Linked DNA regions of Rhinolophus ferrumequinum. The protein of the gene in region 2 purifies or fractionates together with the protein of the main gene of each other region. This does not show direct contact. Links are inferred from orthologs where the notes say so. Each region holds a gene or a part of one and is shown on either strand. Other genes may lie near its edges. The genes, in order: CILK1 and KATNIP.

Evidence for each region.
Region 1: the proteins of KATNIP (region 2) and CILK1 purify together in Homo sapiens (affinity purification with mass spectrometry; 3 studies listed by BioGRID and IntAct, with this or other methods). This does not show direct contact. The link is inferred for Rhinolophus ferrumequinum from reciprocal best matches to the Homo sapiens genes KATNIP and CILK1.

The regions. Positions count from the first base shown.
Region 1 is NC_046286.1:20,734,638-20,750,158, forward strand, and holds the start of CILK1 (serine/threonine-protein kinase ICK), read right to left. Parts: upstream 7,286-15,521; 5' UTR 6,977-7,285; intron 4,114-6,976; exon of another isoform or gene 4,094-4,113; intron 3,952-4,093; exon of another isoform or gene 3,837-3,951; intron 1-3,836. Other genes in the region: FBXO9 (F-box only protein 9), read left to right, coding at 11,027-11,032, 13,892-13,978.
Region 2 is NW_022680357.1:1,863,739-1,879,259, forward strand, and holds the start of KATNIP (katanin-interacting protein), read right to left. Parts: upstream 7,464-15,521; coding exon 7,341-7,463; intron 5,839-7,340; coding exon 5,762-5,838; intron 1-5,761. UniProt on the Homo sapiens protein: May influence the stability of microtubules (MT), possibly through interaction with the MT-severing katanin complex.

The DNA.
Region 1 (15,521 bases), on a different chromosome or scaffold from region 2:
ATTAGTGATTGAAGTGCAGTTCCAGGTAGGGGGCTCTTTGTTTTTTGTACCACCCTTGATAAGTATCTCAAAACTCTTGGTGCTTCTGTTTCTTCATGTGCAAAGTAATGATAATCAAGTTTTAACCTGACCAGAAATGTTCTGAAGTTCTGAAACGGAAGAACCGTAAATATTATAGAAAGGCTAATGCGGGCGGGTCACTTGGGCTCTCCCACCACAGTGCTGGAATTACTGAGTCTCAGAGACTCACAGAAACGCTCCCTAGATGTCATTGGATCAGGCCTTTGGCCTCTGGGTAAGGCTGTAGCCAACTAACAAAGAAAGACAGTTTTATTTCACTTTTAAAGAGTTCTAGCCAATCTTTAAAATAAATGTGATGGTTTTCCTGGCTAGGTGACACTGGGGAAAACCTCCCTGCGATCTGTCCCAATTCCCTCCCCTTGACTTCAATCCCCAGTGGAGGCAAAAACATCTGCTCGAGGCCAGCAGGTTGTATGGTGTGCCCTGCTCATTCACAGCCTGGGCAGCAGAGCCTGGGCCCACGGACAATGGTAGTTGTTCCTTATTTTGGAACTTTGATGGTCACTGAATAAATGCCACAATTACTCACGTGTTACGATAGGAGACAGAAAATTGGATGCAAACAAGGGCTTCTCTGGGAGTTGCGGTTTACCAGCCCACTGACACCACTCAGACCCTTAGGAGCAGCTTTTTCTCCGTTGCTGTAATTGTTTCACACTGAAAAGATTCCATTACTTTTATCTGTCCTCATAGGAAAACTGGGTTGTGTGCGAAAGCATTCAGTGGTACTTCTGAGTTCCACTTTACATTAACCTCATGTAATTACACATCGTAGGCTAGTTCAAAGGTGTCATAACTTTACAAGGGTAAGTTAACACTGTCGATTTCTCTTTAAAAGGTACTAAAAATAGTACATATGTGTTCATATTTTAGCAGAAATGTCCTGTAAGTATTTTGCCTCTTGGACACATGCTTTTTTCTGCATTGGGGACAGCAGCTACAAGGCCAAACCTTGTTTATGTGGAACTTGGTCTGCGTTTACCTTGACAAAGGAGTGCACTGAAGCTGCTACTGCATCAACTAGCGTGGTGGGAGAAGAACATCAGTTCTCTGGCATGCCCTCTTCCATTGCCCAGACACTGGTCTTATTTCCCTCTCTTCCATCATCCCTAGCTTCTGAGAAAGGTCTACAACTTCCCACGGCTTCTCCTGCAATACCAAAGGAGCTGGTGCCCCGAACCTTAAAAAAGAGTCTTCCATCACTTGCAGATTATTTCTAAACTAGGACCCATCATTCCACGCAGCTTTACGTTTATGGAATGTAAAAAACTGAAGGGAGAGTGAAATGTGAAAGAGCTGGAGGAAGAATAACTTTACCCTGAGTAGTGTGAAAACTGTAGATGAGCTGGGGTGACAGTCCCCCAGCTTAATGAGGGCTGTTGAGGGTGGCAATAGTCCTGGTCCCAGCTGCTTGCCTGACTGCCCCTCCACGTTTTAAGGGTGGGCAAGGTCGGATGAATGAGAACATACTACATATTCAAGTGCTATGCAAATATTACAGCACATTTAACTCAGGAGCTTATCTCACTTAATGTAAGATGATTCACCACCATGTATAACAAGGAACAAATCATTAACACATATCAAGGAAGTAAAGGCTTGTAAAAATAAAATAGAGCAGAGGTCAGCAAACATTTTCTGCGAAGGGCGAGTAAATATTTTAGGCTTTGAGGGCTCTACGTCTCTGTCACAACTACTGAACTCTGCCACTGGCGCACAAAAGCAGTCACAGACGAGATGGAAGTAAATGGGCACGGCTGTGTTCCAGGACAACTCAATTTACAAAAGCAGGCGACCGGCAGGACATGCCTACAGGTCACGGTTTCTTGACCTCAGTTTCTTGAAACAGAGGAAACCCTGCAAATCAGCAGAAACACTTTGGCCGTCTCCACACACCACTCATTTACTTTAGGTTACAGGGTTACGTCTACAAACTGTATTTATCCCTAGAACATGAGCTCTCTGAGAGCGGAAACTTCGTGAGGTTCATACCTGTATCCTCCGCATGTAGATAGATGAGCACCGGCATACAGCTGGAACAAACTGGTGCTCAGTAATGATTTGCTGAATGAATCCATTCACGAATGAGCAGCTTCCAGGTTTGTAAAGGGTAATGTTGACTATAGGTGATTTTCCTGTATCACCTACCCCACTGCCATCCCCTCTACCCACCCCTTCTCTGCAAAATTGAATAACTGTACGGGGACTAGGGCACAAAAATTCTGAATCCTTCTAAAAGCTCTTACACTGAGTTAGAAAAGTAAGCTTTTTAACAGCTAACCTAACGTGTAAGCCTGGACATCTTACTTTTTTCTCAGTCAGTTTTGTTTGAGTTAAATCAATCCTCAATAGATTCACTTTCGAAGCAAAGGCAGTGTCCAAGAGGACAAACCCATTAACTCATGTCTCCTGACAACTCCAAGTTCATGCAGATCTTAACTTTCACGATAGTGTCAAATATGTAGTTGGACATTATACCACGATACTTTATCTTTTGGGTTCTGAGCCATTATCTTGTACAGTAACCACGAGGGCAGTCACATGATTATCACATGATTAGCACTTTATCACAGGGCAAACTATCCCTACAGAAAGGTGAAAAATGACTCACGTGGATCTTGCCACAAAAATATGTGGCTCCTGCATTCTCTTGACCATCGCTATACATTTATCAGGTGGCTACTAAGAGCCCCCAGCATAATGGAAAGAAAGCACCAAATGAAGTAGGAAGCACGACTGTGGCCCTTCCATTTTGAAAAACTGAGTTAGGATGACAAAATTTAGGAAAAATGTAAAGTAAGGTAACGTAGCACCTAATGCTCATTAGTATAGATGGATAGCTAAGTTCATTAGGACCGAAGCTCAACATGGGCACCGCGTAACGTTGAGGAAACTTCAGGCTCTAAAATTAGATTTTTTAATTTTTATTTTTGTAAGGGACCTTAATGATAATCCAACACCCCCACTTTGCAGATGAGATCCAGGGACCCAACTACTAGGAATGGGACCTTTGTTATCTTCAGAGTAGCATATTTGTTAATGTGTGAACATAAGAAACGTTTTAAGAGTCTGTTACAGATGTATCCAATGGTCCCCACACCCCCTTTGTAAAAAGTATATGAATGTATTGCAAATCCTGAACCACATACAGGGAAAAAAAAAAGTGGCAGATCTCGGAACAGTGCTTTCTTCCAACTCAGACAACTTCACAAGTCAGCGCACATCGGATTTGATTCCAGCTGCACAGGCAAGTCTGACCACAAGCACTCTTTCTATGAAGGTTTCGACTTTCAAAGCACAACGCGTCAATGAGCAAGTATGCTTCAGTTTCCTTGGAAAGAAATCAGGAACGGAAGCTTTCCACTAGGACTGAGTATTTTTCAAGGATCTGTTGAGTAGTAATATTTTCCTAATATCAGACAGCTCCTCACTAGGCACAGAGAGACTGAGCGTGTGCCCACCTCAGCCTTCCTTCCCATCTCGAGATGGGCATGCACTGCTTCTTTAAGTTCCTCTTTGGCTGCAAGGAAAGGTATCTCTGATTTCTTCCTGCCACACTTTCTTAGTATTTTAAGGCAATTTGCCCCACGAAATGATTTGCTTCACTAAATTATTTTTATGAGGTAATTATCTAAAACACAGGTATATTCATAAAGAAGTTAAAACTGTGTTTCAAAGGTAAGCACAACCACAACCAAGGGCATAGTAACACTACCACCCTCAGACAATATGTGTGTAAGTTGCCCAGCACACACCTCCCTTCGCGCATTCTCCCAGTCAAACACGTCAACCACAAACACTGAGATCCACACACAGGAGATTTCTGATACTATAGCCAGAGGCCCTTCTCGCCACGTGTGTCAAAGACTGCTGATGAGAGAATTTACAATTAAGTGAGACACTATTCACAGGCTGACAGATCAACATATACAGAAAGGTCACTGTACCCAGATTTCTGCCAAGAAAGCACTAGGCAAGAAGTCCTACCATAAACACAGACCCTCATACATACCCCACAAGCAGGAAAATAGAAGGGCTAGGTGAAACTCCAATTCAGCAGGATCCTGCAAAATGAAATGGAGGAGCTTGAGGCAAGAAAAGCAGTTTAAAAAAAAAAAAAAATTAAAAGGCGGTCGTGTTCCTGGCAAGGTTCAGATGGAAAAACAGCAACAGATCCCAGAAGCAGAGCTCTAGCCAGGAATAACCTAAGCTCAAGCCATTTTAAGTAAGGGCAGGATAACCCTCACTGAGGCTTCACGGCATGACTGACTGCCCATCCTCTGGGCCTCGTGGCTGAGCCGTGACTTGTGGTCTATTACAACAGACATCGACCAAACATTTGCCACACGGTCAGGCCTCTGCGAGTCATGGTCCAGGGACGGGCAGATTTTTGTCAGGCTTATGCCAGGCTCTGTACAGCCAGTAGACCATCTTCACAGCACAACCAGCTGGGGGAGGCATTTCCCCTACGTGACATGTGAGAGGATTAATGCTGGGCAACTCCCACAAGGCCACACGAGTAATACGCGGAGTCAGGCCCTGACCTCAATTCGGCCTGACTCCAAAGCCCAGTGTACCACATCGCCATGCATAAAATATGGCTCCTGCCTAAAGAGGCTTAAAATAGCCTAAACCAATTAGAGATCAATATAGACAGTATAACAAAGGGCTAACAAACAATCTTAAAACTTTAAAGAAAGAAGAGAAATTAGTAGTTAGAGAAGACATTTATGAAAGAAGTAGGACTTGGGCTCCTCCTCGGAGGATGGGTAAGATTTGCACCGCAGAGTAGAATGAAGGGAGGGAGTTTCTAGGGAGAGCAATCTGAGCAGCGACTCCGCAGTGGGACAGCAGGAAGACCAAACGACATTGAGCACAAAGATGTATGATGAACTGAAAGTAGGATTTCCATATGAGGGGTGAGACCTGATTATGAAAGACCTTGAAACATCAGGCACATTTTTTTAGATTTGAGATAGCAGAGAATGGAGAGGAACTGAAGGTGGCAAGGAGAAACATAAAGAAGTGATAGTTTAAAAACATTAGACTGGTGCAGAAGGAATGCAGAAGATTCCAGAAAGAGGAGCATCTCATTCATTCACTCATTCATTCATTCATTCATTCAGCACACATTTACTGAGGACTTACAAAGAGCCAGGCTTGGGACGCTAGCTAAGAGGTTGCTCCAGTCTGCAGGGGAGGAAGGGTGAGGTTCTGGATTAAAATATAGAGGGAGGAATCTATATACATCACATTTCAAAGGTCTTGACTCATAAAGGAGGAAGGAATTGAAGGAAAAGATAAAGATAATTCCAAAGGTTAAAGATTGACATAATTTCCACCTTTACGAGGAACCTCAAAAAGCAATGAGAATAAAACAAACAATGAAAGTATAAAAAGAGCTTTGATGATGTTGAACAATCCAGAAATACCCGCCCCCCCCTCCCTGACAAAGGCCTGTTCTTTATCCTGGTAGCTCATTTACATACAGTCTGTAGGTAGGAAACTTTACTGAGAAAAGACCATTTCTCTGTGACTAAATGATGAGTTCCCTGGGCATGGAAGACAGACTTCTGCCTTCTCGGACAGACTCCATCAACCCTCCATCACCTACAGCTAAACCATCCCTCCATCATCTACAACTAAACCAGTCTTATTTAGAAATGTGACTGCCCATTCCTGCCCAGCCACCAGTTTTGACTTTGGGGAAGAGGGACAAGGCAAAGTGGAGAGGGGAGAAGTAAAAAGTGGGCAGGGTCACTGTAGAGAGCTGAACCTTAGGGAGGGGGCAGTGGTACGGATATCATTTCACATAAAGGATCTCAGCACAGTTCTCATTTCTACAACCACTGCCTAGTATTTTACAATTACTGGTCCTCAAATAGATAAAAAGGCCTTGAAGATTCTTTACCAAACAGCAGCGCTTTCATTGTTTTCTCAAAGTATTTCAAATGTGCATATTGATGCATACATGAACTCCTAGCAAAGCTAGCATATAGTTGAGACACAAATTCTTAATCATTTGTATGTTGACTACACAAATTTAAAGTTCATTTTAATTTTATTTCCCGCAATAATAATTCACTATGGGGGCACATCCAGAAAGTCCACTCATTGGAAAAGGTGAGAAATGAAAACTGTAGCTATTAAACTTCTATTACTACAAAGAGTGCTCTAGGCCAAAATTAAAACACACACACACACCACAACTGCCAATACTTGAGAGAAATCTAGCCCTGTGTGCAAAATTCAGGATGGTATTCTCAGCACAGTCGAGCTTTAGCAAAAGCAGATCTTTATTTAGTTTTAAGTGGAAATGAACAGTGTTTTATACAGAATGATGCATTAAACTACTTTTATATTTAAAAGTAAAAGCCCTCAATGTTAGTGTCCAAGTCAGCTTTAAAAGCTGCATAAAAAAAGAAACTCTTGTTCTGGAAAATCCTTCAACATCCCTCTCACAACATGTTCTCAGATTAGTAAGAAAGAAATCAGAGCAGAAAGAAACCCCAGTGAAAAATGGTTGCACATAAATGTGTGAGGATTCTTGCTCAGAGCCCTTGCGGGACAGCCAAAGGCCTAGTCAGGAAAATTCCAAGAGCAAGTCCTCCACGTTCTACTAAAGGGGCTTCATATCGGGTACGAATCTTTCCCCTCTTTAACACTAAAAGGTAAACACCCATCAAAATCTTCCAGACTCCGAGGAAAAGGGAGTTTTCATGACAAGAGGGAGAGACCCACATGACCGTAAAGAGAAACTACAACCCATTAACCTCTCCCTCCCCTCTCCGATCCTCCACTGCTCCACGGGACAGGGGTCCTTCCGTAGCTTCAGTCCAGCACCCCGAGTGACATGTCGCCCGACAGAAGCCCCTAAATCCCTGACCCCACTTACTGGCGAGGTGAACACAGGCGGGGGCCCGCTCCTGCGGTGAGCGCAGCTCCTCGGCAAGTGGGGCGCAGCAGCCCGCTCGGGAACGGGGAATGGGGACGATCCCTGCTAGGAGAAGCCGAGGCGTCCGTGCAGGGACGCCCGGGAGGTCCGGCGAGTCGCACCGGCCGCGCAGCGCATGGTAGAGCAGCAGGAACCCGGCCGCTCTCCAGCCTCCAGCAGGAAAACAAACAAAAGGCAGGGAGGCTTCTAGTGGGGACGACTGGCCGCTTTCCCTGGGAAAAGTTACCCTGCAGCTCCCCTCGCTGGCCCTGCGCGTCCCTGCACCGCGTGCAGGCCTCCGGAGGCGCGGAGCTGGGGCGCGGAGCAGTTGCGCTCCGGTCTGGGCTAGACGCCTGACTGAGCCCAGGGAAGCCTGCGGCCAGCTGACCATGAACGCGATCTCTGCTCCAAACGCACGCCTTATTGCATGCAGATCGGCTGCACCAAGTATCAGGATTTAGAAACGGTAGCCGTGGATGTACGTTCTAGGGACATTTCATTACAGGTAATCATGGTGAAAACATTTTTCCTGGTTTGAAAAAAATGTAACAGATTTCAAGACATCGTGAGGGAAATCAATGCCACTGAATTGTACACTCAAAATTGTTAAGATGGCAAATTGTATTACATGTATTTTACCACAAAAATGTTTAAAATAAAGACGCAATTGACTGCCTGTTAGCATTCATTTGAACTTTAAGAGTTTTTATATTGTTAGCAACTTTAGTTTGAAAGACCGGATTGTTATCCAGGTAGGAAACAGACTAGATATGCTCTACACAACAGTTGTCTTCTATAACTAGTTATATGAAATCTAACACTTAACACTTTTTAAGCACATTCACTGTGTCATAAATTATATTGTAGACATTACCTTAAATCATCTATATAATGACTGGCTCTGAAGGGCTTTGAAAAAGAAATTGCGTTAAGGTCCTTGATTTAAATTTACATAATTGCCCCAAACCAATGGTTCTCAAACTTTAGTTGGAGGCATCAGATGATGTATTATAAAAATGCACGCTTGAAACCTATATACTTTTACTAACCAATGTCACCCCATATATTTAATAAAAATTTTAAATACACACACACACACACACACACACACACACACACACACACACACACACACACACACACACCCCAGATTGCTCTGCTGCTGCTGCTGGTAAGGGAAACCACATTGCCCTAAGCAACACAATTTTATTTAATAAAGCAGTAACCTTTTTATACACTGTGGATCTTTCTTTGAGTTTAAATTCCCCAGCCACCATATCAATTTTCTCTCACTATTTTTATGTCTGAATTCTAAGAATTGAAGACAGTTTTTCCTAAAAAATCTATACAAAAGGCCTGAATGCCTCTCTCCCCTTGCTCCTGCTGAAGAAACCTGCAAGATACAATAGAGTGGAGCTTTCTTAGACTTCCTGTCCTAAATGGGAAAGGATCACCTGGCAACTTGGCAAATGTATAACATTTATCTACCTTTGTGCTTACCTGTACAACACAAAAACCCTGTGGAAAATGAAAAGTGAATGTCATTATTAATGAAAAGTTAGGAAGACGTATCTTACGTTACTACCATGAAAAATGATTTTTAGAGTATCTCAAATTATCAGCTTTCATCAAATTCAGTTGTCCAAGCAAGTCTACCTAGCAAATAGAGGGACTATCTTTGTCTACTTGAACGGATTCGCTGGGTTAGTAAATGGCTTAGGTCAGTAGTTCTAGCCTGGAGAAAAATCACAACCCTATAAATATAATATGATGAAATAACACAGTCCTGTAAAGAGGTCTAGTGGATACTAATCTAATATAGAAAATTAGTAGCTATGAAACCTAATAGCGTTTTAATAAAATGTGTGCTCAGTTTATCATTACGAATACTAATTATTACTTTATTAAACTTTATTGTTTATTTGCTAGATTAACAGAAACCATTGTGCTAATTAACCAAGATATCTTAAATTAGCATTCAACACCTTTAACGAATAGAGTAGTTCCCAAAATGTTTTAATACCTCAGTCTTCATTTGCAAAACTGATCTTCTGTATTCATCATTCACATATATAATTTTCTTCTATTTTAAGTTTTTACATCTAATCCTCCAGATTTAAATTTCAAAATCTTTTTAAAGAGAACATTGGGAGGAAAATCATCCTTAAAAGACCTCAACCCTAGAGTCTCTTTTAAAAACTATTAAATTTTTGGCCTCCGTTAAACATAAAGGTACTTTTTATAGGTAGCTGATTTAGGGTGCAACTAAAATCACACTCATCCGAAGGTGGATCCTAATATTGAGGCAGCAGTTGGGCTTCCATATTGTAGCTCACCGTTCCGTCCCCGCCGCCCGCCCCCTTTTTGCCTCTATTTTTCTGCCGAAGATGTACCGCATTTCTAAGATCTCCAGAATAAAACAATATTTAAGAGATTTAAATTCTGTTAATTCGCTGAAAGTAGGGTCTTAGAATCCTGATGACCATTAGTACCTGGTACCTAGTAGAAACTAGAAACTCCAAAAAATGTTTGCTGAATGACGTATGTAAGTGGCTATAAGACTATAGGCTTTCATAGAGCTTGCAAAATTCCGTATTTAAAACAATGTAAAGTGTGGGAAAATAACATATTGCCTGATAAATAAGAGCGCCTTCCGGGGACGTGAAATTAGGTATCTGCGCTTTAAAAGGTGGGGCAAGTACCTTGTGTAAGTTCCGGCGCTCCACGCGGAACAGCAGACTACAAATCCCAGAGTGTCTCCCCGGCGCTGTCTGGGCAGGACTCGGGTTTCAAGGCCGTGTAGCCTCTACGTCCTTACCCCATTGCATGATGGGATTTGTAGTGCGATTCCTTGCGATCGCTGAGTTTCCTTTCCCCTTGCTGCTCTCCTAAATGCATCTTTTCCTCAAACCCCAGACCCGTGCTTTTAAAAAGTTTAATCGTTATAACAGCCTGTGACTGTAGGCGAGTTTCACTGTTTCCCTGCATTCCTGGCGTGGACTACAGCTAGAGTCGCCCAGGAGCGTGCAGCGAGCGTAGTTTGATGCTCATAAGGGCTGGTCGCTTTAGGGTCTCAACTCTTAATTTGAGTTACAGACATTTTTGAGTTGACGCTTTTTCAAGTTTGCATAAGTGTTCATTGAGCCGAATAAGTGGGTTGGGTTTGGGGTGCGGCCAATTGGTGACATCATGCCTCGGCACACAGTAGGCCCACGCCCGCTCTCCTTCTACTAGGCAGCAAGCGCCCGGCGGTGGAACGGCGCCGCGGACGCAGGCGGCGGCGGCACTGCGCACGCTCGGTGCGCCGGCGCAGGTTTCCGCAGCAGAGGGGTAGATCTGCAGCGGCGTCCGGGGTCTCCAGCAGGGACGACGCTTTGGTTGTCACACAGGCTTCGGCTTCGGCTGGCAACGGGCGTCCCTCCGCTCTCCGTGTCCCGTGCCCCCGCTCCAGCGCGCCCCGATCTGGCCGCCTGCCCCGCGAAGATGGCTGCCGTACGCCGGGCCCGCAGTTACTGCCGCTGCCTGGTGCGCTTCTCCGACCGAGAACTCTACTAAGCCCGGCTGCAGCAGACAGGCAGGAGTAAACGCTCAGACACCCAGCACACCTCCTCGGGGGGCGGTGCAGAGAGGGCGCAGAGAGCCCTTCGACCGCGGCCGCCCGGCCCGCCAGCATGGTAACCTGAGGAGGGGGCAGGGGATTAGGCGATGCGGGGGTGCAGTGTGCAGGAGGTGCCGGGCCTGGGGGAAAGCCCCAGGGGAGCCAGAAGAGGCTGAGAAGCGGGAGCTGCACGGCCGCTACCCATCAGGACCTCTGGCCTGAGAGGGAGTGGAGTGGGTGCCCGCCTTGACCGCTCTCTGGGGTTTTTTGGTTGCTGAACCCCTCAGCCGGGATTCGATGTGCAGAGAGCGGGTTTGCAGGACGGCCGAGAAAAATGCCTCTTCGCGGCTCGCTAAAGACATTGAACCAGTCTCGCCCCTCTTGAGGGATTTTATCAAAGGCAGTGAGCATAGATGGAGGTGAGCCGTCGCAGCCTCTGAAACCCGGAGGGGGCCTGGGCATGCGGAGACACTTGTTGATTGCGCCTCCTCTGGAAAGCCGTGCCCACAAAAGGCGATTCGGGCCCGTTTCGGAGGCCGTGAGTTTAGGACGCACCTGACCCGTGACGCCAGTCCCCTGGGTAGGATATTGGCAGGCGGTGCTGGCGGCCTGGGGTTAGAAGGATTGTGTCTCACCCCACAGCAGTGAGGGCCGGAGAAGCGTCAGTGCGGTCCAAATGGAGAGTCTGAGCTAAACTCCAGAGATTGGCAACGCAAATTGCATAGGACTGTGGCATGCTGGAATACGTAGTCTGCCCTGTGCTGCCTTTCTGTGGCTTTGGATAAATTGTCCATCCGAGAAACTATCTCTGGAGAGGGTTGCATGAATCAAGGGTAAAATGATACCAAACTAATTAGCTTATAGTACACGCTCACGTATTTATTGGTTAAATGAATAGCTGAATGAATTTATTAATCCGGAGGATAGGAGAAGCAGTAATTGACTATCCCCTAAACTTCCAAAAGTAGTTCTCTGACCAGGGTTAAGCACCTAACTTTTTATATTTCGTTAACCCCATAAGTAAAACAGGAGTAAAATGAAGACATGAGCTACTCAAGTGAAGGGTGAGGTTTAGGTCAAACTTAAATAGGAAAAATAAAGTGAAAAACTCTGGCTGACAGCCGAGTACCTACTTATTTCAGGTGGTATTTGAGTTGAAAATTGTAGTAAAACCCCAAATTCGATAGTTTCTTGTTTTTATCATACTGTCAAAATCAAAGTAGTAATGGATTAGAACTCTTACTGTAACACAGGAGATCAGGGAAGAAGAAAGATGCTGTCTGTACTATAGGTTTCCTGTTTCCTTTCCTCATTTTTGAGACACGCATCATATATCCATGTGGCATTTTATTTGTTAGTTCAACCAATTTTTTTGAGCACCTATTATCAACCTGGCATAGTGCTAGACCCTGGTACGATACTAAATAAATCTTCAATATAACCAGATCTGTCAGGTAATTTGTGGTAAAGTTAATCATAGAATGTCACATATGGAAAAGGACCTTAAAGGTCACCAAATCCAACACCGTCTCTTTACAGATGAGACAGCTGAGGCCTGGGCAGACATTTACAGTGAATCAAGCAATGTATTTGGCCTTCTAAGGTTACAGAGATGACTGAGATGTGATCCCTGTTCCCACCCAGTGCACTAACTAGCAAAGAAACAAAAATAATCAAAATACCAGTTTTAAGTGCTGTGATACAAGCACAAGTGTAATGGGAAAACAGGAGGCAATTAAAACAATCAGAAAATGCTTCCTACGGGGATGATTCCTGAACTGAATCTTGAAGGTTGAGTAGAAAGAAGTAGCCGAGTGAGGAAGAAGCAGTCATTCCGGATGGAGAGAGCAAGCAGCATATGAGCACGGAACTGCAGTGAGCAGGGCTCTTGAAGTCAGTTTAGAATGACCACTAGGCAAGAGGTAAAGGCTGTGACTAAGAGGGTACCCTAGAGAACTCAGATCTCCTCCTATTCGCTGTACTTAGAGTTCACAGTAATAAAGCGGACTCTTATTTGAGAGAGAGAGAAACACACTTCTCAATGGGATCTATAAATTCAAATTCCTTATTGTGTATTTTCTTGTTAGTGATGTTCTTAGTAGAGAAAGCTCCCAGCTTAAAGACTCAAAAAAAGAAAAGTATCTGACAATAATAGGTGAATGCTTACATTTTCCAGTTTTCTGGAAGTTCCTATGAGTCTCAGCCTCTCCCAGTGATTTCTTTGCTGATTTAGCTTTTACAGTGGGCCAAGCACTTTACCATATACTAACTAGTCCAAGTCTTCAAGGCACCTCTGCTTTAAGTCTGGTCGCCAGAGATAAGATAGGAAATGAGGCTTGTTTATGTTGCACTGTAAAGTAGTGTAAGTATATAGGGTTACTGTATTCCAATATATGTGTTAATACAAACATTTTTTTCCTGGAAACAAATTACAACTAAAATTGGCTATTGTGAAACTATCTTTGGAACGAGTTAAATTAAATAGGTTTTATTATTTTTGTTTCTAACTAACCTTCAAAGTCATTTCTCTGACTGCCACATTTCTTTATGGAACTGAACACTTTAAGTGTTGAGCAAGTCCCATTTGCTAATAAGTCTATTAGCTAACAGACTGAACTTACGCGGTATTTCATCTTCACTGGAAGGTAGGGTTCAGTTTAATTTAGCAAATATTTATTGAGAGCAAAAGGGTAAAATGAAAGGAAACTGACCTGAGATCTCTATTAAGCTCCAAGCCAGGCATAGTAATTCCATCCCAGCTTTATTCCATTTTAAGTTCATCTATTAAAATGTTGATTTATAAAACACAGAAAATAGAAGGGGCTTCTTTACAAAAACATTCACTTTATATGTCTTTATGAGCTTTCCTAGTATATTTAAAATAGTAATAAACAAAATTCATATTCACATATTAATATGCCAGTGTGTAAAAGAAGGGATATCCATATATGGATTATACATGGTCTTTTAAGTGATCCATGAAACAAAAATTATTTGCTGAACTCTATACCACAACTAAATGTTATTTTCTGAAGCAAAGTTGTTCTTTTCAACCACTTTAAACTAGAGCCCAGTGAAGTGGTTTATTCTACAGTATTAAAAAATTATAAAGTGTCAGATTTTTCTGATTGGAATCATTAAACTTACTGTGAAGAAGGTATCTAGAGAGAAACAACTATATATTTCATTGGGTAAGTAGCTGAATAGGAGATGCAGTTTTCAGAGGGAAACTGATGTTTGTATATTCCTGATCATTATTTTTGTTCTTTTTCCCTCAGGCAGAAGCTGAGGAAGATTGTCATTCTGATACTATCAGAGTAGGAGATGATGATGAAAACGAAAGCCCTGCTGAAACAGATCTGCAGGCATGTTTCTTCATTGTGTTTTTAATTCTTATTCCATCGTTTTGCATACATAAGCAAAAATTGGTCATAATTGTGAGGATTTATAGGTTCTTATTTGCATTGAATTTAACTGTATTTTTATACTCACCTATGGAATACTGAAATTATAACTATGTTATGGATTTCTTTTTCTATAAAAAGATATATCAATAATTGCTGCTATGTAGTTCAGTGTATGAGTTTAAAGTGTCCACGCCTGGGTAGGCTTAAAACTCATCACTTTAAAGTAAAAGATTGACAGATTTGACCTAAAAGTTTAAAATCTATATATAGCAAAAAACATCATGAATCAAGAAAACTAATCAGCTGTATAAACTATTTACCATACATGAGCAGAGGATTGATAGCCTCCATATATAGGACATTCTTTATAAATTAGAAAGAGATGAATGGACAACTCGTGGAAAAATGATATAAATGGCTACTAAACATTTGAAGAGATAATTAGCCTCATTGATAATTAAAAAATGCTAATTAAATCTACAATGAGATTTTTTTTTTTAATTTTTAAAAGAGTTTATTTGAGCCCAAACTGATGACTGGGAAGCAAGATCTCCAGTATTCCCGAGATTTTTTTTTTTTTAAAACGATCAGATTGGTTGGTAGTAATGCCCGTTGCCGTACAGGCTGTGAGAACACTTATGCAGTGTATATGAAAGCATAAATTGCTACAGCTTTTTTGGAAGGCAGAGTAGCAATATGGATCAAAATGAGACACATACATTCCTTTTGAATCAGCAATTCTGCTTCCAGGAAATTAGTAATGGGGAAAGTGAGTAAAAATATGTGTACAAAAATGTTTATTATAGCATTGTTTATATGGAAAAATGGAATACAACGTAAATATCCATCACTTGTGTTAATGATGCATCCATATAGTGAAATACACTGCAGCCATTTCAAAGGATCAGGTAAATCTTTGTGCATTGAAATAGAAAAATATTCATTGTAATTAGTTAAGTGTGTCTTACTGAATTTATAAGCTTTATAATATTTATTTGGAAGGTGTCAAAATTAAAAGTGCTGCTAAAGATTCTTCACGTGAGAGGTATGTGTGTTAGATGTAGGAAGGTAGGAACCAAAATCAAAGCAGTATACAGAATGTAGAGGAAAATTATTTTTAAACTTAATGTGTATATACACCTTTTTTAAAAAAGCCAGGACTAACGTCCACCACCCTATAGGAATGGGAATGACTTTGAGAGGAGGGCATCCTGTGTTGGTTCCCCGAAAGCGGACTAGGAGGTGGAAAGTACCATGGAGGAGGTTTTTTAAGCAGTGCTCTTGGGATCAACAAACACCACCATCGGGATATAAGAGGATGCCAAAAAAATGGATACACATTTTAAGAAAGGAAAAACCTGTATTAAAATTGTAATATGCATTGTATACTGATAACAAAAGATGAATACCAATCACGTGTAGACATTTTTGTGGCACCCCTGGTAGAACTGTTTTGTCACATCAACATGAAGGAAGGGAGGAAAGCCAGAGTTGGGGTGAG
Region 2 (15,521 bases):
GTACATTCCTGATCAGAAGCAATGGTCAGCATTCAATCAGAACCAAACCCTGAAAGCAACTCAAATGTCCCACAGCAGGAAAGTGGAACCTGGGACCTCACGCAGCTGTTGGAATGATGAAGAATCTGTCCAAATGCAGGGTGTTCTTAGGATCTGTTCAGTGTGTGAGTGGCGGGGAGAAGGCAGAATAAAAACGGTACATACGTGGGAAGCGCAAAGTGGGAAAAAAAGAGTGTGTCCGTGGACCCAGAGTGGAAGGTGATAAACGTAAACATTAAATCCGTTGTTCAGGTAGGGTGGCGTTATGGGGATTTCTGTTTGCTTTTAAAAACGTTTCCCGAGCTGCTGCACGATCCATCTTTTTAACCAGCGTGGCAGAAACATTCATTACAGACTGTTTATCTCTTGCCAGCCCTGGAAAACCTAGGAGATGCCAGGTTGTGGGGCAACTGCGGGGCAACAGCATAAAACAGAAGGAAACACATGTAACTAAGAGACAGTTTCCAAACACAGCACTCGCCACACTCACTGGAGCAAACAGTTAGGGCTCCGGGGACGCCCGCAGTGTCCTGGGACACACCAGCAGGGAGCCCAGGCCCTGGGAAGCCCCGACTCGGGTGGGCAGGGCTGTGGGGGCGGAAAATCCGACCACTAGGCAGGAGGGGCCTGCCTCCACTTCCCTCCAGACGCTGCCCGTTCCCTGATGCTACCTTACCAACTGTGGTGGTCTCCTGGTCCCCAGGACCCGGGGCTGGCCCTCCACGTGGGCCTCTCCTTCAGCAGGATGATTTATGACAGTGTGGATTTATGAAGCTGATAAATGAGGAGATAATTATTCAAACTGTGAAAGGACCCACTAAAGGAACGCCTCTGCGGCAGCCGAGCTCATCAGTCAGGATCGTGTGGCGTCAAAAGAAAAGTGGGGTTTGTGTAACTGATGGCCTGCTTTGCATAAAAAGCTGCCCCGGTGAAGGGGATTCAGAGGAGTCAGATTCGGTCCCTGCCCCATCAAAGAAGGAAGCCCCGCCCCTGACGCCTGGGCTCTCTATTCTCTCACGGGTTGTGCTTGTTTCCTACCACGTCTCACACGGCAGCCTACAGGTCAGCGTCTGTGTCTGTTCAGTCTCCTTCCCACCCAGCAGAATCCGAGCCCTGGGCCCGGGGACCGTGCTGAGTGCCAGGAACGGGGAGCAATGCACTCAGAACCTAGTTCTGGAACAAGTGGCCCCGAGGAACTCCAGGTCCAGTGGGGAGAGGAGACATGGCCGTGCATCCGAATACAGCCTCCGTGGGCTGAACGCACAGCGCAGCCATCGTGTCCGCTTTATCCGTGCTGACCTTTGCATCCCTTGTACGGAGAGCTCTTTGGTGGAAGTGGAAGCACCAGGAGGGAGAGCACAGGTCATCACGAGGGAGTGACGGGGACAGGACATGCCTGACAGGTGGGTGGTCAGGGCACAAGCAGGGTCCCAGGTGGCGAGAGGATTCAGCCCAGCTCAGCGGGCAGGCAACGTGCTGCTCGTGGACCTAGTGGCAGTGGGTTCTGGGCGGAACTGTCTGGGTCTCTGAGCGCGGAAGTTGCTATGTGACCGGGGTCCAGCCACGTGGCTCCCCCGGACCTCAGTTACTCAAAGGCTCAACTGAGGGGTTCTCTAAGGGCCAGGCATTCGAGGAGGATCCGGCTGGCAGCTCAGAGAGAAGGCGTTTCACATTGAAATGACAACGGTGATGAGGAAGCCCCCGCACCGGGGTGGTGGCCTCACGAAGGCCCTGCAGGTGCCTTGTCAGGCTGAGTCCTTCCCGGCCCTGGGATTGAGATGAACTTGACCAAGGCTGGCCCAGGAAGCAGCCAGATTTAAAGTCAGGTCCACAAGGCCCTGCAGCCTGTCTCCCAGCCACCGGCTCCGCTGTTTCTGTTTCCTCATCAGGAGTCTCGCCACAGGGGCTCTGAGCAGCGAGGGCGCCCAGGCAGAGCGGTGGCTCCAAGCTGGGGGCGTCTGGGAGGTGGTGGCATTTGAGTCCAGCCTCAAAGTGTGGAGGAACCCAGAGCAGTGGTGCAAAAAGCCTGCTGCTCCTCCCGGAACCTGGGTGGCCCGCAGGCTCTGGTATTTGTCCTCTAGGATGTCACCACCCAAGGCCTTGCCATATCCCCCTCCGTGTGACCTGGGGCACGTCCCTAGGTTTCCTCTTCTTCACACTGAGACCGCAAACACCTCCACGTGTCTGAACTGCTACGGGGATGGAAACAGGGGACCAGGCTGAAACCCCACCTCATGGATCCGCCCCGTGCAGGATCGCCCGTGCATGCTGGTTCCCCTTTTCCTTCTTTCTGCCTCAATCTCCTCTTGAGGCAGTGGGTTTGCCTGTCAGGTGGGCATGTTTTCCTGTAAGTTTCCCTCAAGTGACCTTTTCCAAAACACAAAAACACCACTGGATCTGGCCTCGCAGCCGCCATCGAGAGTCTGTACAGCCCCCCTGGGCCGTTAGCTCCTCACCTCCCAGCCCGCTGGTCACACTGCTTGCTCTTCCCTGAGTTCTGCTGGGCGTGGTTCCGTCTTTCAGGAAGTTGAGTGACCAGAATCACTCAGCGTCCTCGGGGAGGGTCTGTGCGCGGTGAGCTGGGCACCACCTCTTCGACCCTCCCCTGGGCCTTTCCTGGAGCCCGTGATCCCTTTCTGCTTCTTCCGGCTCCATTACAGGTGGCCTGGTGCTCAGCTGGGAGGGAAGGGCGGTTCCTCCAGGCAAGGGGTGTGCGGCGGACACCTGTTCTTTCTGCCCACCCGGCACCCCTCCCCCCACCTCCCAAACGCAGCCCTGCCTGTGGATCCCCTTTGGGTGCTGCTCCACTCCTTCCTTCTCATTCCCCGTGGTTTAGGTGAGGCTCACTCCACCCCCAGCTTAACTGGGCAGCCAAGGAGAGGCCAGTGAGACCTGCCACCTCACCGACACGGGGAGACGGGCTTAGGGGTGAGATTGGGGCCCCAGTCAGGTCCATGGGCGTCCTTCTCAGCACTCCTGCTGGAACCCTGAGGGCAGAAGTGCTCTCCTCCCCTCGAGGTGGGACGTAGGTGTGGGGGTGGCCAGTGGCCGCTTTGGCCTCCGAGAGGGAAATGCCCTACGATGACTCCAACACGGGGAAACAGAGCTGAGAGACGGAGAACAATTGATTCTGCGGACGTAACTTGAGAGCCTGGATCCAGCTATGCCTGAAGCCAGACTGTCATCCTGGATTTCTCAATTTCGTGAGCCAGTAAGTTTCCTTGTTGCCTAAGGACCATTGACCATGGGTTTCCATCCCTCCCAGCATAGGAGCAGAAAGTAAGATAGTCTGCGTTCCCCCATCACAGTGTTCTCCCCACACTGGTGGGAATCTGGGCTCTGAGCAAGTACTCAGTGAACTCCTCCTGGATGAATCCAAGAGCAGTGTCACTCAGCCTCTTGGGGCCGCTGTATTGTGGACTGACTCCCCTGAGAACGCGCCCAGTGACTGCACCGCCCTTCTTTTTTTGTGTGTGTGGTTTTTTTTTTTTTCTGGTTTTTTTTTTATTTTATTTTTTTCTTTTCTTTCTTCTTGCACAGCCCTTCTGAGGTCACCAGGCACCCCCGGGGAGCAGCCGGGTTTTCATCGCCCTCTCGGCCCAGTGGGAAGCTCAGCGGCTGGTGTTCCATTGGGTCCTATAACTGGATTTCCAAGCAAACCGCAGTTGATTCCCACAAAGCCCCTCCGCAGTGAACTTGGAGCCACTGGCGACCCTGGCAGGTTTCTCTCCTCTTGATTATTTATGACCATGTCGAGCAAAGTCTACATGAGAAAGTAGACTTTCTTGACCTTGGGCACACAGCTCTCTCTCTGGGTCTCCACGTCCTTGTACGTAAAACAGGGCAGCCACTGTGTCTGCCTCGTCGGGTCGTGTGCAGATAAAACGAGATGACAGGACGAGGTGCCTGGCGCGTGGCTGGCCCTCCAGAAAAGGTGCCTTGGAACCAACAGCCGACGATAGCTCAGCGGCACCCTCTCTGCATGTGTCTCCATTTGGAGCTGTTTCTTTCCAGCTCTACCTTCTAATTTCCTGTCGTCCAGCCAGCTCCCTCTCGGTGACAACACATCCCCCATATTTTATGGCAGCTCAGTTTTGATACATTTTTTTAGCTGCCTTTGTGCTGCCACCTCGTCGCCGTATATTCTCCTCCGCGCTGTCGGCTGGTGCCTCTTTGATTGCACACTTATTGATCCCCGATTAATGAGAAGCCATTTGCTCATCTGACACTCTCCTCCCAGACACGTCACGTGGATTTGATGAGACGATCACACAGGGGTTCGGGGACCCCCGTCCAGCTTGCCAGGAACTGAGTAAAAACAGCCTGCTCTGTGGCATCCACGACGATTAAAAAGCCACGTTTGAGTTAACTGGCCTTCAGCTAGTGTAGTTGCCGCTCGCCCCTGGGTCGGAAGGAGTTGGGCACAGACGGAGTGCCTGGCATTTCTGGCTGGTGCTGGAGAGATTTCTGTTCAGATGTCCCCACTGCGAGAGGTACGGCCTCACCAGGGGCACCTGGAAATGCGGCGAGGGTGTTGTCATGGAGACTGGGGGGCATAACGGAATTAGTAAAGTGGCCGGTGGGTGGGAACACTAATCCTACAACACAGGGGACTATCTTGCACCTAAAAACTTGTCCCATGCCACAGGCCGCGGGAGCCCCAAGTGACAGGTCCTGGTTGTCAGAGAAGGGCAGAGTCCATATTCAGGATGATGACCCCAGACTCTGTCACCTGCAAGACCCCAAGCTAATTCCCTAACACAAAGGCCCAAATTAGCACGCCATCCTTCCGCCTCCTGCAGGTCTGTCTGAGAGGCCTACGGCGTTCGTCCGTTTGTTTCGCACTTTCATTTGCATTCATTACCAACATTTTATTAAAGCACAGGCGGTTGTCACGACTCAAACCCACAAACCCAGATCTCCAGCTTGTCTCCTAGTCTTGGGAGGATATGGACCCCTGGGCCTGTGTTCCCACCAACAAGTGGCCTGAGCCCCAGCAGCTTGGAAGCGAGAATTCCAGGCCCCCAACTGTCCTCACCCACTGAGTGGGCTTCACTCACTGCCCGGCCCCTCCTAGCATCCGACTTTGCAGACCGGGCTTACTGCAAGGTGCCAGGCCTGCAAATAAGCCACAGCAAACCGGAAATGAACTTGGACAGCCCTCCAGACTTCTTTCAAACCAGACCGCACTGCTTTGACCTTATTCACTAACCACTGCCATCTACCGCAGGCTTTTTCAAGAACCGGCACTCCCGAGTCAAAATCCGCACTAACATCACCTTAGATGATGACGTAGGGACCAACTTCAAACACAAATGGACAATGGCACCACCTTTCCATAACAAGGCGTGATTACAGGCTCTGATTTCAAAGGACGGGAGCAGCCTGGAAGATCACAGCACGGGCTCTTCAGGCGGCCAATGCACAGGCCCTGCCAAGGTCTGGCTTTTCGGGACAAACCTACCTTCTCCCAGAACGGAAGCAGGGAGGCAAGAGGCGGCACTTACACGTCGAATAGTTTGCTACAGCTCCATCAAAAGATGCCGTGACATGAGTGAATGGGGAAATAAGAGCCGGCATTGCAGAGAATACGCCGAGCCTGTGTGTGGAGGTAACGGCATCCCTTCGCTACGTGAACAGAGTCTGCGTGCTGCTAATACATCCACACAGGGTTTTTACTTGGCTAACAGGAGGGGCTGCCGGCAAGCGGCTTCGTCCTTACCGGTTCCTCTGCTGAAGCAATATTAAATACTCATCATGTTTCTCATCAAAGTCTGGCACATGTCCTTTAGTGAGACCCTGAAATGAAGAAACAGAGCGGTGTGATATCAGAAAGCAGGAAAGCACGTCCTGAGGCCGGGGGGGCAGTACACACTCTCTGCACAGGTGGCCGCGAGGCGGGGCGGACCTTGACGCAAGCCGGCTCCCTGGACGCGTCCCTCTGGCGACCCAGAGCCCCAGAGGCTGGCTGCCTGATGGCCCAATGGGGCGCCTCACCACAACTAACGACGTACGAAAATCGAGATCATTTCTCCTGTTTGTTTCTCCCAGGCCCCATAAAATCAAGGGCTCGGCCAGGATTTGGGCTTTCTCTTTTCTCCAGGCTCCTGATTGACTTATCTCAATTGTCCTAACCGAAGGCGTCCCAAATCAGTTGTTTTAGGAGGGGATCACGTTTTTCTCTTGCCAACACACGAGAAAAATGTATGCTTGCTATCAACAACTCCGTCATTACACAAATACATGACTCAGAGAATGAAGGTCCCTCCAGAGCAGACATTTGGGGTTTTGGCCCCAGACTGGGTTTGCTCTGAGCAACCGCTCGGCCCCTTCTTTCAGTGAACTGGCTTCCTGAGATGCCCTTGAAGGTTCCTTCGTTATCCTCTTGGGTCACAGGACTTTGGCCTTGGCCTTGCCAACCAACACAGCGCTGCACTGCTTCCCTGGTCTGGGTTGAGCCCTAGAAAGTCAGCCCTGGGCTAGGCTGACACTCCCGGGAAAAAGCTGCTCTCTTTCCACCGCGGTGCTGAGCTGATGAGACGCAAGCCTGGAACCGCGTGAGAATGAAGTTGATGAGAAGACAGGGGATCCGAGAGAGGGAGAGAGATTCTACGGACGTGAGCTTGAGCCCCTACACCTACCCACGCCTGAAGAAGTTTCTGGACCACTTCGTGACTGCTTTACAAGTTTCAGCTGAGTGTCTCTTCATTTTCAGTCCAAAGAATTACGTCATCTACCACAATCTGACAATATGTTTTTTTACAGCTTTATGGAGGGAAAATTAATGAAGCTACACATATTGAAAGTGACATATGTATATACAGTAACCCCCCATTATAATTTGATATATAGTCCTCCAGATGGTTTTCTTTATTTTATACGTAAAATACACACAAACACACATTCTTTTAAACAAAGTAGAATCCCACAGAAACACTGCTTCACAATTTTCTATGCTCCTTATTTATTTATTATTTTGCCAAGGAATAGACTAAAGAGACCATGTCAGCTTGGTTCTAGTCACAAGTTACAGGGATTAAGTTTTAAAGGGCAAGTGAGACATTTGTGACAGAAATGCAGTTTGGATGAATTATCCTGGGGAGAAGAAGAAACAAAAATCTCCATCGCTCTCTTCTTGTCAAAATCCGGCTTCAACCCCACTATTCCCTCCAGAACCCTATCCAAGGGTGACCCAAACCCCCTTAACCAAATAGGATAGCTCTTCCCTTCTTCCTCCTGTTCCTTTGCTCTGGGCTCTGGGCAACTGCTGACCGGCCGGCCGACCACCCATCGCTGCCCACACTCCCGTCCTCCAGCTTCTGCAGCCCTGGACCAGCTTCCCTTCCCTCGCAGCTTTCTGCCTGGGCCTCTCGGGCTACCCTTCCTCCCTCGGCCTCGGAGGTGGGTGGTAATTGCTTGTCCATCTCAACCTGTCCGGGTCCCTCTCCTTCTGCCGTCACTTCTCTTTCTGATTACAAGGAAAGGGGCCCCTGGCTGGGGAACCCACCGAGTTACTCCTCGTCCAGGGCTGCGGAGAGCTGGTTGCAGGACACTGGGTGAGGGGAAGAGTCTCAGTTCCTTCTAGAATAACAGCACATGTATGAGGACAATTTAAGCATGCCCCTCCACATACGTGATTCTCCTTCGATCTTCCCCGCCGTCCTTGAAGTGATCATTACCCACCCCACCCCCCACTTAAGACACAAGCACAGCCATCCCATGCATATTCCACGAACGGGATCCTATTCCAAGGCAATTCACGTAACCATTTGAAACATGCAAATGACCACTGATATATGTTACAGTACAGAACGACACATTCGATGGACATTTTTTGATGAGAACTAGGAGAACGTCAAAGAGCTCAGCCGTGGTGGGCTGCCCTGGGCTTTCACCCCAACCCTTCCAGAACATTCATTCGCCCTTGCCAGGACGAAGAGGTCATCAGAAAGACGTGAAGAGCACAGGCCTACCTCCAGCCCAAGTCTTCAGCAGCCTGTGCTTCTCAACGCTAAGCGTGCACACAAATCACCTGGAGGTGGTGCTGAAAGGCAGGCCCTGATGCAGCAGGGCTTGCAGACGGAGCGTTCCAGCAAGCTCCCAGACGGGGCTGGTGGGACACGAGTTGAGTAGCCGGGCCTCTCCTCACTCCCCACCATTCACCACGCACCCACCTCTGACGGGACGTCACTGAGCCTGAGCGGGGAGGACACGCACTAGCTCCAATGCAAGTCCTAGCACTGCCATCAGTTTCCTCAACTGTGACACAGAGGTCATGACGGCACCGTCCGGGAGGATTTTCCTTTCTCTCATAGGAGGCAGTGACGGTGGAAAGGGATTAGCACAGTTACCTGGCACCGAGGAAAGCTTGCAATGAACGGTACACGTACGTCACAGACTTGCGTCATTTTAAATCGCACCATCTCCCAGGCTCCCCCCGGCACATGCCTTCCTCGTGGTATTCCCTTTTCCACAATTCATTCCGTCTCCCCCGCAGCCTCCAACCCAATCCTCCCCAAGGCCCGTTCAGTTCCCAAAGTCTCTCTCCCCGTGACAGTCTCACCCGCATTCACTTTTCAGCTCATTTTGAAACCCTGAAATTAGTATTAAATTAACATACAATACAGTGTGGCAGAGTGTATGATTAAGTGATAAATTGTTAGCATTTAACTATGTATATTGCTCACTAACTACCTGGGGATTTGGAGACTTGAGGGGGTGAGCCTTGAGCTTTGTTTCCTACCTTCTCTGAGCCTCAGTTTCCTCATCTGTAAAAAGGGGACATTAGTAAGGTCTGCCTCACAGGGCTGCTCTAAGGAGTAATTAGGAGAAAAGCGGAAGTCATTTAGGGTCCTTTCTTTCTTGTTCTCCTTTATAATCCTAGCCGGATCATAAATTCCTAGGGGGGCAGACCATGGGAAGCCGGGGGGAATACGGAAGGGGGAGGCCTGGTCCTGGGCTCATCTTAGCTTTACCACATCCAGCTGTGACGACAGCTGCTACAGCTGCCTAAGCACCAGCTCAGCCCACGCTCACCCCAGCCTGGTCAGACACCAGACACTGCTCCTCCCAGCACAGCACACTTCCCTTCACTGAGGCTTTATTTGTCAGGCTGTGAAATGGGCACATTAACCATAAAGCACCCCACAAGGGTGTGAGAACCTTGTCAAGTGCCAAGTTTATCATCACTGTTTTTCAGCAAACATTATCAAGTGCTTACTGGGTTGGCTGTTACATGTGCAATGATGGTCTAACAAGCTCGGCCCCCGTATATATTCAGATATCAACTTGCCTAGAGGCCGAACTGGACCACCAGTGAGGGGCAGCTGTGCAGGACTCGGCCCCTTTCATGTTGCGTGTGGTGTGAATGACACCCCGTGCCGCTGTGCAAACCAGTCAAGCAAACACACACTGGCCGGGGTCCGCAAGGTCGGGGTGGCTTGCTGGGAGCTCTGGGAACACTCATCTGTCCATAACTTTCGTCAAGTCACCAAAAGCATCCAAGACAACAAACAGGAGACAAATGACCATCAAAAATATATAAACTATGAAGCGACGGATCCGAATGAGGAAACTCGAAGCCTTGCTCACTCCCCCCTCCACATCCATCCAACCCATCAGCTCCAGGTGGAAACTACCAGACCCCCCGGCCTCGGACCACTTCTCCCCCACCTGCCCCCACCCCCTGGCTCAGGCCCCCTCGCTGGCCTCCTGCTTTTGCCCTCACCCTGCCGTGTGCTGTCCCTGCTATAGCCAGGGGGTCCAGATAAAAGGCAGGTGCATCATGTCTTCTGCACAGGTCTCTGTGGCCACCAGGCCTTGCACACAGACCCCAAGCCCGTCTCCGAGCCGCTCCCACCACCCACTGCGGCCCCGTCGACACCCAGCAGGCTCCCCGCTCAGGGGCCTGACTTTTCATTGCTTCTGCCTGGAACGCTCGGCCCCCAGGTCAGTACCCAGATTCCTCGTCTCCTCCGAGGCTTGCCTCAGAACTGACCTCAGGGAGGCCCTCCCCGGCTGCCCCATGTAAAACTGCAAGCTGTGCACACACACACACCAATCCCTCACTAATATAATACCTACTTTATCTTATTTATGATGCCTCTTATTTATGGCGCTGTCCCCTGCACTAGAATGGAAATTCCATGCAGGCAGGACTGTATCCGTTTTGATCACTTGTGTTTTCCCAGACCCTAAGACAGTACATGCACACAGTGGATATATTACCCGATATTGACGGAGTAAAATACACAGAGAGATAGACAGAGAGAGAGAGGGGTAGACAGACAGGCATTTGAGCTGAGATTTTCAAGTTGGAACATATTCTGGGGCAACAAGAAAAGGGACAAGCATTTCAAGCAGAAAGCAGCAGCATGGGCAAAGGTGTGGGGTTTTGACTAGGGCGACAGGTGCTGAGGAGGGCGAGTTAAGTTGGCAAAGGGCCTAAGGAGGGTGGACGTGACACAGAAGCAGAGCCTCAGCGCCACTTTTCATTGCTGTAGTTCTTGTCATCTTACCCCTAACGCTGGCCCAGAGACGGTGTAAATTTTATCACTGAGCACATCATTAATGGTCTCTGGGGGAAGAAAATGGCATTGGAAAGACACGCCAAGAGTCACTTGTGTTTCAAAGGCACGCGGCCCAGGCCGTATTCCAGGGATTCCGCTTTCCCGAGGCCAGAATCCTGGGAGTCTCCTAAACCGGGCTGAGTGAGGGCGCGCCGGAGCCCAGGCCGCGTCCGCGCCGCTCAGAGGGCCCTGTCGGTTTCCAGGGCCTGCGATGAATGTCCAATGGCAGCTGTCAGGCCCCCGCAGAGAAGCCCAATAACTTCGAATGGTTTCCTAACGGGGCTGGGAACCACAGTGGGTCTGGGAGCAGCGCAGAGTGCACAGAGCACGTCCACACACCTGAGTTACTCCCCGGCCCCCGAGGGTCACATTTTAACCGAGGGACGGTGTATGAGCTCTGAGCAGGCGCTCCAGGTCCCTGGGCCCGCTCTTCCGGCCGCCTTAGCTGCCATTTATCATGCTTTCTGTGGCTGCCTATTGTGGGATCAAAATAATGCTAAGCTCTGGGGTCAGTAGCCCCATTTTAAAGAGGTGGAAACAGGCTTTGAAAGCTGAAGCAAATTGCCAGCAGGCCGCAATTTTTCTTGGGGCAACCCCTCTCCTCCACGCTCCATCTGTGTGGTGGGGGTGGACATAATACTGCCAGCGCCACCAGAGAGGGCATGTGGACCTCGGCCTGGCCAATCAGGGCATTGCGTCTCCTGGACATGCAACTGGTTCAGGGCTATGCGTGGCCCCAGAGGAAGGCCAGCAGACTCAGCTCAGGGATTGGCTGAACCTGCGGGAAAAGTCCCGACCTCGCTTCCCCTGGAATGATTAGCTGACCTGCGCCGAGAGCTACAAAGGTGACCACAGCGGAAGTCATTTCTATCAAGGGATGATTGACATCCGTCTATGTCCCATGGAGACGTGTGTCCAAGGAGCAACACCAACACAGAGGCAGGCAGCAGAACCGAGGACAGAGAGAGAGAGAGCAGACAGAAAGCAGACCCTCTTAAATTAACCGTGTTTAACCCCTGCATCCAGCCATGCTTGAAGCCAGTGCCATCTTGGGCTCTTAAGTCACAAGAGCTAATACATTTGTTTCTTTACTCAAGCCGGTTTGAAGTGTGTGTGTGTGTGTGTGTGTGTGAGAGAGAGAGAGAGACACACAGCTGAGGGAGTTCTCGGTGGTACACTCGTAGAACTACTACTCAGGGGTGTCGGACTGCAAAGTCTGTGCCATATCCTAGGGCTCAGGGCAGTGTTTAGTAGACGACTAAGATGATACCTAATGAACATTCTCAGTGAGGGCCCTACACCCACAGTGACAGACGTTCCAAACGGATCTTACAGTATAAAACTCCTACTCACCCTTCAAAACCTGCCCCCAAATGCCAAAGCTCCCGTTGTACTCAGAGATTCTGTTCTTCGTGTCTCAGTGCTGTGTTCTAAGTCTTTAATGTATATTAGCTGAATGAAAAAGTATAATTCTGAGCTTACTTTTCACTGCTTTTGCTGACGTACCAGATGTACTCCCATCCTCAGGACACAAACCACAAACACTCTACAGCCAGTACGCCTGCACTGCAAACAGAAGCCAAGCAATGAAGACCTAAAGCAATGGCTGACACCACCCCTTAGAGGTAGAATGAAACAACACAGAACACTGCAGCAGAGATTTCAGTTTCTCAGGCCCTGGGTAGACGTGGTAACCAAGCCGCATACTAGGCACATAGCAGATGGGTAAGCCAAGGACACACCTTACACTTATGTTTATTACTATGCCTCCCTGCTATGGACCAAGACACACCCTGAGACGTTATATTTTGTTTCAGGATTTGTAGGATATCGATACAGATCCAAAATCTAGGATTTCCTCCTGGACTCCAGGATTCCATATGCTGCATCTTTATGAAAAAGTTTTTCTTACATAGTGTCATGCAGGGACTCTGGTCCTGCTCCCCACATAAGAAGACAGAATACGGTGAGGCCAAAAAGGAACACCCACGGAGCCACAGATAGGGGAGTCATACCGCTATCGTCTCGCTGGCGGCCGGGTTGGAGACACAGGAAGCAGGAGCTGCAATCTGCCATCCGATTCTCTGCCAACCAACCAACCAACCCAGCCACGGCAGTTATATCGGTGGCTAATGGCTAACCGGTTACAGCTGATGGCCAACTAGTCACAGCTGACGACCCTCTACTACCCGAGCCAGCACCTTTCCACGTGAGGCCGAGAGCCTGGAAACTACATTCTGGGACTCGGACCCCACACATAGCTATCTAAGAAATCACTTTCCATACATAGGTGTCTACTAGAAAATAAGTAACATGTCTTTTGATTCTCAGAAAAGTTTCCTCGTAAGGTTGCAGTGTGTGTGATAAGCCAACGTGTAGGCTGGCAAATACAGACGTTCTCTTTTAAAATCTTAAACGAGTTGACTTGAAGAAGGAAAATTGTACATTCATGCCATAGATAGAAAAGCATTCTCACGTGCCATCAATAGAAGGCAGACACAAACACGGAACTAGCCCGTGTTTTACACGCCACCCACAGGCCCGTGGAAGTGTGCAACCACACAGGAGGAAACTCGGGGCTGGAAGTTCCACGTCCACCACAGCCCTGCCAGGTGGGTGACACTGCCCTCATTTTACAAATTCATCCATTTGCTCTATTTATTGAGCACCTTCTGGAGACAGAGGGAGGGCATCGAGTCTGCTAGCAGGGAGCTCACGTGCTAGTGGGAGGAGGGAGACACGTGATGAAACGAATAAGTAAATCTGTGGTATGTCAGATAGTGCTAAGTGCTGCGGAGACGAAAAGAGGGAGCAGCGAGAGAGGGAGGGAAAGAGGGGGTGCTGTCCTAGCCGGGGGGTCCGAGACGGCCAGAAGGCGGAGCCTGAAGGACCAGAAGGCGGAGCCTGGAGGACCAGAAGGCGGAGCCTGAAGGACCAGAAGGCGGAGCCTGGAGGACCAGAAGGCGGAGCCTGAAGGACCAGAAGGAGGAGCCTGGAGGACCAGAAGGCGGAGCCTGAAGGAAGGGAAGGAAAAGAACCCTGTAGGAATCTGGGCAGGAACCAGTGAAAGGCCATGTGGTGGGAGCACTCCGCATATGTGAGGCACAGCGCGGGGACCAGTGTGGCTGCAGGGGGTGGCGGGCGGGGAGGAATGGGCTGGGACTCGGGCAGAGGCCACGGTGAGGACTCTGTACTTTACTGAGGCCACGGGAAGCTGCTGGAGGCTTCTGAGCGGACACGTCCACCGAGGCTTTCCGTGGGTGGAGATGGGCTGGGGCTGCTCCCACTGCCTCCTCCCGGAGGGGACGCGGCCCTGGAAGCCCGGCTGCAGCATAAACAGCTTCTGACGATTCAGGACGCCCGCTCTCCACTCCCAGGCTGGTGCCAACCTGCCTTAGCGCAGCTGTTACCTGCCGGAGGCTCCCGACCCTGCAGGACCGCCGCTGGGCCTGACGGGAGGAGAGAGGCAGCTCAGGTGGGATTTTCCCTCCTCCACACCTGACTTGCATGGGAGAGCCTTTCCTTGGAAGGGAATGAACCTGCCACAGAGAGCATCTTTCACGAGGTCCATCCCGTCACCACCGCCCAGCCAGCCGGGGCTGCCTGAATGGACGGGTCCCTCTCCCCCCAGGAGCTGCCCCGCAGCCCCGGGTAGGAGGTGGTAGCACAGAGGGGCCCCTTGCTATTTATTCAACAAACATGTCTCGAGCTCCCCCTGAGGTTGGGTGCTGCTCTAAGGGGCGCAGACAGGTGATGCAGTCTGGCCCCACCATCCTCCCTGACCTCACTCCCACACACACCCCCAAACCCCTTGGCCCAATGGCTTCTGGCTGCTTCTCGGAGAAGCTCAGCCCCTTCCTCTCAGACCAGGGCCCCCTTGTTGTTTCCCCAGGCCTAGAAAGTTCCTTTGTTGGGCACCTGTGGTCCTTCCTGGGGCCTCTTCTGACGACCCAGGCCGCCTGCCTCCTCGAGGAGCCAGCACGTCTCACTCTGTGAAAGTCTGTCCATTTGTTTGTGGGTCCCCCCAAGGTACCAGACCCATATGGCGCAGGGCAGGTGCCGAATCTCACTGCGGTGTCTCCTAGCCCCAGGCCAGTGCTTGGTCCACACAAGGAACTTACAAAGTACTTGTGCAAAGGAAGGAATGAGGAGGAAGAGAAGGAAAAGAAGGCAGGAAGACAACATCCCTGTTCTCAAGGAATTTCGCGAGGCGGCCAGGGAAAGACGACTGTTCCAGTGCCATGGGGGAGGTGTCAGCTGGAGGACGCACCTGTGCCAGGGCGCGGTGGGTACAGGGCACGGGGGCCTGGCGTTACTCGGGGGCTGCAGGCTCTACAGAGGAAAGGACACGGCGCTGAGCTGTAAAGGAGCTCACTAGGTGGACAGGGGAAGGTGGAGGGGGGCGGGGAGGGCAGAGGATGGGGAATGGTCCAAGCCCACTGGCTGATCCCAGGGGACATGTCACCGGAGGGACCTGGCTTCTGAAATTCCAGGCCTGCTTTAAGCCCAATGAGGGGCAAAGCCTGTTTGTGCCCACGACAGGTGCCCAGTGGCGCGAACACCCTAGGCAGGAAGTGAAACCTCCCGTTCAAATCCAGGGCAGTGCAGTGGGGTTCAGGCTGTGTTGTCTCACACACTACAGTCCAGGGTCGCCGTAGGAATCCCACAGATCCAGCAATAGAAAGAAGACAGTTCACCGTAGTTCCCTCTCACCCCTTCCCCGACTGTGTGGGACCAAGACCCTTTCTTTCCTCTCTCACTCTTTCCCCTCTCTCTCCGTCCTTCCCTTCCTACTTTCTTTCAGGTTCACGGGGAGTGACTGCTAACAGGTACAGGGTGTCTACCTGGGGTGACATCAATGTTTTGACATTAGATAGTAGTGATGGTTGCACAGCACTGTGAATATACTAAACA